2 linked regions of the Caenorhabditis elegans genome follow. The protein of the gene in region 1 purifies or fractionates together with the protein of each later gene. This does not show direct contact. Each region holds a gene or a part of one and is shown in the gene's direction. Other genes may lie near its edges.

Region 1 (3,754 bases):
TTGAAACTTTGAAAGAATATTGATATTCATTGTATTTTCAACATACCGATAAGAGTAACAGGAAGTCCATACTCAAGAGCAGCGAAACAAGTCCATTTTCCAGTTCCCTTTTGTCCAGCAGAATCACGAATCTTTGGAACAATTGGCTCTCCTTGCTCGTCACGGTATTTCAAAATATTAGCGGTGATTTCAATAAGGAAAGATTCCAATTCTCCTTTATTCCAATCATCAAGAACTTCAGCCATTTGATCGTGATTCAGCTCGACGGCCTTGCTCAGAAGATGATATGCTTCAGCTATCAGTTGCATGTCTCCATATTCAATTCCATTATGAACCATTTTCACGAAGTGACCGGATCCAGCGTTTCCTACCCAATCACAGCATGGTTCTCCGTTTGACTTGGCAGCGATCTTTTGGAAGATGTCTTTCAGATGTGGCCAGGCTTTTGGATTACCTCCTGGCATAAGAGATGGTCCAAAACGAGCTCCTGAAATTATATAACATACTTAATTGTGTACTAATTTTGAATCGAAAATGAAATCATCCGTGCATTCTGTGCTTATCTAGAGCACAGCTAAGACTGATATCATGTTCGGAACATTTTTTGAACGGGTCTAAAACTGTTATATCGCATTGCTTTCTAATTAGAAAAAAACTATTCAAGATGTTCTAATACACCAACTTCCGTGTTGTTTTTACTATACGATTGTAGCGCTTACCAAATGCATATAAAATATTCTTCTGACTATTTTTGTATTTATTATCTTTTACATTTTATATTCTCTCTTGAGAAACCGCTATTAGTTTTATGTATCAGATATCTCGTTTCACACATATTTACCAGACTAACAATTATGAACATATCCGTTACCGCATTTCTTTCAATTTCCTTGTGTTTCTAATCAACATACGTATCAGCGAGAAGCCGACATAGGATGGGGAATTGGCTCTCTATGTCTTCTTTTTCTTTTATTGGAAATGGAGGGGTGGTTGTAGAAAATTGGCAGTTTTTTTTGGAAGAAAAGAGAAGTTTTGTTTCTTTTTTTGGCACAACACCATCTGGTAGTCCAAGTACATAACTTTGTGACTAAACTTTGGAGACTAAACAAAATTTAAAGCTTTTAATCCAAATTAGCTAAGATACGACATTTATTAGGATTAAAATCGAACTGTGGTCTTTCTTAAATGTTCGGCAAGCAGTCATGACAAAGATTAAAACATAAATGTCTACACCCGAAATGCATGACAATTTCAATTCCATCTTTAATCCGTTAAATGCTTCCTCTTGTCATTCTCCCCTGCCATCCACCCAAACGACTTTCGATCCATTTTTTCTTGGATGTCAAGGGTTTCAGTCCCTTGTTTCCAATTTCCCGTGCCCTTTCTCTCACTGATTTTTTTCTTCATTTTTTCGCCCATTTCTCCAGATGTCTTTCTCTCGGGATTCACAACGACAACGACGATAAAACATCTAACGCTTTGGTCGATAAAGGCTGTAAGCACGGAGAGTGCTATTAAGCAAGAAGAGATTCATCTCTTGTCAGCTCTCACTAGTGAATACCTACAAATACCTACTAATTAGCTTCTCAATTCATACAAGATGATGCGAAGGTTATTTCTCCGAAGTTATACTTTTGGTGAGTGATGTAAATAAATATATAAGTAATTTCTTCAAATTTATATTCCTTTTGGAAATTTATTCATAAATTCATCTCTCCTCAAAATATATGTCACATCTCAATGCGCATTCAATTAGAGCTCTTCTCTTTTTCAATCATACACTTGCATGTATAGGTATCTCAAAACTCCTCCTCGTTGTCAGATTCTCTACTTCTCACAGACTATTTCGCGACCAAATTTCCTGATTTCATTCTACGCCCTCAGACAGGAAAGACAAAGCACTCATATTTTTTGTTAGTCTTAAATCTCGCAGCAGGTGTATTGCAAATGATTTCATATAAAAAGTGATGTTTCGAGTATTTCCATGGTCCGGATCATATTCTAGTAGTGCTGGTAAGTCTGTGTTCTGATTACATGTTCTGCTAAACCTAATATTATCAAAAATAAAATAGCAAGTGTGAAATTTTCGAGAAGTTTCAAAAATACTTTCGTATATACACAAGAATTCTTATTTTTGATTGAAGTCTGGAAGTCATATGTATTTCATATTTTCTCATAACACTATTTTCAAATAACATTCGCCAAAAGATAACATAATTACCGTTGCTGGAAAAGTAGGCAAAATTTAGCAAATTTTATCATTGAAAAAACTCGAAAAAGCAGAAGAAACAAAGAAAGATACTTGGAATTATCATATTACAACGAGTTTTCAAGTTCTTCTAATTGTATTTTATTTTTATTTCTAGTGAGGGAGAATAATTATAGCTCGAGAAGATCTAGATTCATGTGTTTAATTTTGTCGTTTCTTTTCATTTCTCTTGGTTTTCTTAAAAAATAAGGAAGCATATGGCGACCCAGACTCTTTTCTCCAGTGGCGACCCAGACTCTTTTCTAAAATTTCCACTTGGCATGTAATCGGAAACCTAGCAACACAAGTTTTCCTGTTGCTTCGCCTTCTGAATGCTTTTCCATGGGCACCCATTCAAATACTTCTTCTCTCACGCCCGTCTCACTCGTTCGTCCTGCGTCTCCAAACTTTTCTCCTGTCCCCATTCATCTCTGCACTTGCCCATTTCCCTTTGCACACCGAAATCTACATAACATTATATAGCACCACCAACACCAGAGTCGTCCGTTATACTTGTTCGTCATTTTATCATCGGACAAAAACGAGCGAATTGCACACGAAAAACGCGGGCTTTCTGACATACAAAAGTGCGCGCTCTTCCCTCCCGTTCCTATACTTGAAGCCTCTGATAGAGTCCGTCGCTATTGGATTTATGTTCTCTATTTTCAATATGCATTTCGAAGCTTAGTTGGTTGAAACGAAGCAATAAGCCAAGTTATTTAATTCATACAGTAAATGGGTAAGACTGAGAAACATTTGAGTTGAAATCTAGTATTCTACATTTATTTGGACGTATCAATTTCTTTTAGATGCCAACACTCCCTCTGCATCTGGAGGTGATCCAAAATCAGGAGATTCTTCAAGTGAGAAGCAATCACATCAAACTCCTACTCGACACCCTCCATGGCTCCGTTCTTCCTCTCAACCTGCCACGTGGCGTAACAGCGCCTCATGTAAGCCTCTAATCCTTCCCCGACTTAATCCTATTGTTCTGACACCCATTACACTTCATTTCAGTCAACGAGATCAGTGACGGCAATTGGACATACTGCATTGAAACGCAAAATACTGCGTAAGTGATTACTTTTTTTTCATCATTCATTGAACATATGATATTTAGCCCTGCTGTAAAAGGATTTGGGAATGTTCCAATTGTCAGTTACGACGTTATTGAAGCTATGGGTGATAGAAAACTGAAAGTATGTACCGTGACATGGAACATTAACGAAAAAGGTGTGAAAATATTGAGCCATCTCGCTCAGAAAATAGCAGAACGAGGACAAGAAATGGATAGTGATATATTTTTCATCTCATTGCAAGAAATACCTTCCACAGCACCGTTAGTTCCGAAAACTATTAATTTTCGATTAACTAAAATCAGTTTCAGAACTTTTCATGAAGAAGCATTACGAATTCTTGAGCCAGTTCTCAATGGTCATCGTCTGTACCTTTCACATAGAGCCTGGAGTCAAATGGTAATAGTCTTCATTCGACAGAAACATCTTC
Region 2 (3,754 bases), on another chromosome or scaffold:
TCTACATTCTATCACCAAAAGAACTCCCAGTTCAACTATTTTCAGAACGATAAGCACCTTTTCATTATCACTGATCTCCACGTAGCGAGCTCTCGCAGCTGTCCATGATGCGGTTGTAGCCTGTGCTGATTTTCGAATCAAATCCATCTCCTTATCGTCTTTAACTGCGAACAGATGAGTAAACGCGAGAGTAACGTCATTCTTATTGACACCGCCTTCCTCGAGCGCCTTATTCCACGAACTGACGAATTCCGAGCTGAATTTCTCTTTGACGAAATTTCCAACATCTCCGCCTGCACTTTTGATGTGATCAATGAGCTTTTCAAAGTTTCCAGCGTCTTTATCGGTTTTATCGCGGAGCAGTGTGCTGACTGTTGGCACTTTTCCTGAGCTCTGATTGTCTCCAGTGACTGATCCGAAGAATTCGACTTTGCGATTACTTCCGAGAATGTAAATGTGATCATTGAGAAGCAACAGGACTGTGTCAGCGATTTCGTGGCCAAAAAGCCAGGTCTGAAATAAAAATTTGTCTTGAGTTTGAACAAAGTCTGAAAAATCCTTACAAATAGTTCGCTGGTCTTTGTATATGGATTATCAGTCTCTCCGTATACAAAAGCAAGTGATTTGATCGAATCTAGACCATCGGCTCCCTTCTCCTGTAAAATATTTGTAAAAAAGTAAAAACTATCAAAAACAGATCCAATGAAAATAAAATGGAACTCGGTAATTTTCAAACTCAATCTCACAATTTTTCGATGGAAAACATTTTAAAAATATAGCAATTCTACAGCTTTTATGGCAAAAAAATAGGGAAAAAATTAGAATTCAAAAATGTTCGTCGACAACAACGCAAAACCACAATCGTGTCGAGACCCATCCGAGTAAGCCGATGTCCCTTTAACCAACCCTATCGCGGTTTTTTTTTAAATTTTTAAAATTTCTTCAAATATTTCGTCCGTTTCTCTTGTGGACCGCTGTTAAAATAGTTAAATACTTTATTTTTCAGAAAACAGATAATTTATACCAAATTGACAGATGTAGAGCTAAACTCCTCAAAATTTTCTAAAGTTCTTATAATTTTACTGTTGTCTGCGTTTCAAGGCCTGAAATATTGTAGGCACTATCGTAGGATTACAACCGGATTTGTAACTTTGATTATCTGAAAAGGAAAAATATTAAACTTTTCTTTCAGGATTTTTCGCAATTGCCGGCGTAATAATTGCTAAAAGTCGACTTTAACTTCAATATATTTTAGCATTCCGAATCTGAAACTAGTTCCCAAATGCCATCTCTCCTTATCATTATAGTCTTCTTGCTGGTATTCTTGGAAATTGGATTTTTCCCTGTAATGTGTGGATGTTGGATGGATGTTTGTACACTTCCATTATTCAATATAACATTATCACAAAGAATTGCAACATTTGCCACAGCTCCATTCATGTCAATATTCCTTCATTGGATGGTTGGAATGATTTATGTATTTTATTCAGCGTCATTTGTGATTCTTCTTCGAGAAATCCTTCGTCCTGGTGTACTATGGTTTATGAGAAATCTCAACGATCCCGACTTTAATCCAATTCAAGAAATAATTGATCTACCGTTCACGCGGCATTTCCGAAGACTTGTTGTATCTACAACTCTGTTCTTTTCAACGATTCTTCTGACATCCTACATCCCGCTCAACATAATCTCATCACTTATTCCACATCTTCTACCCTACAGAAACTCCACTTTCTGAACTCTCGCTGGAATTGATGTTTCTTCAAGAATTCATCACAATTGTGTACTCTCACATGGCCCCTCCGTAAATAACATGGCGGGAATATTGCATGCGGAGTGGTTGCGAAAGTGCGTGCGGCTGTTGCGTTCCTTGACCACGCCCAACTTCATTCCATTCTTTTTCGCGCGCAATCCTCACTTTCAGCTCTAATTTTTCAGAGTTTACAGTTCTTCAGTGAAAAAATATTTGTCTCGTCAAAACGTTTTTTTCAAAATTTTAAAATTGTGTCAAAAAAAATTAATTTTTTCGCAAATTTCAAACTTTTAGCCTATCCGAATCCGTTGCTGGTCACTTTGTTTACGTTATCGATTTTTGCTTCCATCTCTCAATCCTCGTGACTTTAACACAATTTCTAACTTTCAGGGGAGAAATGTCTGGAAAACGGGCAGTTCTCAACAAGGATCTCTTTTTCCAGAGAGCGGAGAGGCTTTATGAGCACTGGGTTTGTGACTTTCAGGACTTTACGAATTTTTAATCAAATATTTTACAGGAGAAGGGAGCCGATGGTCTAGATTCGATCAAATCACTTGCTTTTGTATACGGAGAGACTGATAATCCATATACAAAGACCAGCGCACTATTTGTAAGGATTTTTCAGAATTTGTTCAAACTCAAGACAAATTTTTATTTCAGACCTGGCTGTTTGGCCACGAAATCGCTGACACAGTCCTGTTGCTTCTCAAAGATCACATTTACATTCTCGGAAGTAATCGCAAAGTCGAATTCTTCGGATCAGTCACTGGAGACAATCAGAGCTCAGGAAAAGTGCCAACAGTCAGCACACTGCTCCGCGATAAAACCGACAAAGACGCTGGAAACTTTGAAAAGCTCATCGATCACATCAAAAGTGCCGGCGGAGATGTTGGAAATTTCGTCAAAGAGAAATTCAGCTCGGAATTCGTCAGTTCGTGGAATAAGGCGCTCGAGGAAGGCGGTGTCAATAAGAATGACGTCACTCTCGCGTTTACTCATCTGTTCGCAGTGAAAGACGATAAGGAGATGGATTTGATTCGAAAATCAGCACAAGCTACAACCGCATCATGGACAGCTGCAAGAGCTCGCTACGTAGAGATCATTGATCAAGAAAAGGTGCTTATCGTTCTGAAAATAGTTGAACCAGGAGTCCGCTGCAAGCATTTCTACATAATTAGCCAGTTTTTGGTGATAGAATATAATGAAGCAGTTGATGTATCTGAAAATAGCTTTTAATTCAATTGAAAAAGCGGAAGAACTGCTCAAAATCAATCTGAAAGTTGGAAATCACCCGAAAATTAAACTTTCATGCAGTTTTTGAGCGTTCTTCCAGTTGTTTCAATTAAATGTAAAGCTATTTTTAGATGACTAAACTGTTTTTCCTTTTATCTATCACCAATAACTGGCTCATTTTTTAGTACTCCTGGGAAAACCACTGTTTTAATCCCGAGAAAATAATTCTTTTTTATTTTTGCAGCGAGTCCGTCACTCTGTTCTCTCCAATGAGTTTGCCGCCTTCATGAAGGATTCAAAAGTACAACAGGCACTGGCCAAGTATGAAGCCGACACATGCTATGATCCAATCGTAATGTCCGGTGGAAATTACTCGTTCAAATGGAATCATGAAAGCTCGGAATCTCATCTTCACAGCCAGTTTGGAACGATCATCACTTCGTTCGGAGCTCGTTTATCAGAATATTGCACAAATTTGACGCGAACTATGCTCATCTTCCCATCTTCTGAACTTGAGACTGCCTATGAAGCGATTCTTGCCGCCGAGCTGGCAGTAATTGCTGCTCTGAAGCCAGGAGCCAAGCTGAGCGATGTTTATAAAATTGGAATCGATACATTGACGGAGAAAAGTCCAAAACTTGCTGAAACTCTGAACAAGAAAGAGCTTGGATTTGCGACTGGAATCGAATTCCGTGAGAGTCGTCTTGCTATCAGTGCGAAGTGTGACGAGGTTGTCAAAGCAGGAATGGTCTTCATCGTTTATATTGG

What was found.
Region 2: the proteins of inpp-1 (region 1) and spt-16 fractionate together in Caenorhabditis elegans (co-fractionation; one large-scale study listed by BioGRID). This does not show direct contact.

The regions. Positions count from the first base shown.
Region 1 is NC_003282.8:10,771,594-10,775,347, reverse strand, and holds the start of inpp-1 (Inositol polyphosphate-related phosphatase domain-containing protein), read left to right. Parts: upstream 1-1,901; 5' UTR 1,902-1,967; coding exon 1,968-2,013; intron 2,014-2,600; exon of another isoform or gene 2,601-2,983; coding exon of another isoform or gene 2,984-2,987; intron 2,988-3,057; coding exon 3,058-3,201; intron 3,202-3,265; coding exon 3,266-3,320; intron 3,321-3,368; coding exon 3,369-3,587; intron 3,588-3,635; coding exon 3,636-3,754. Other genes in the region: T25B9.9 (6-phosphogluconate dehydrogenase, decarboxylating), read right to left, coding at 47-487.
Region 2 is NC_003279.8:10,786,987-10,790,740, forward strand, and holds the start of spt-16 (FACT complex subunit spt-16), read left to right. Parts: upstream 1-2,143; 5' UTR 2,144-2,150; coding exon 2,151-2,222; intron 2,223-2,270; coding exon 2,271-2,363; intron 2,364-2,413; coding exon 2,414-2,869; intron 2,870-3,230; coding exon 3,231-3,754. UniProt on the Caenorhabditis elegans protein: Component of the FACT complex, a general chromatin factor that acts to reorganize nucleosomes. The FACT complex is involved in multiple processes that require DNA as a template such as mRNA elongation, DNA replication and DNA repair.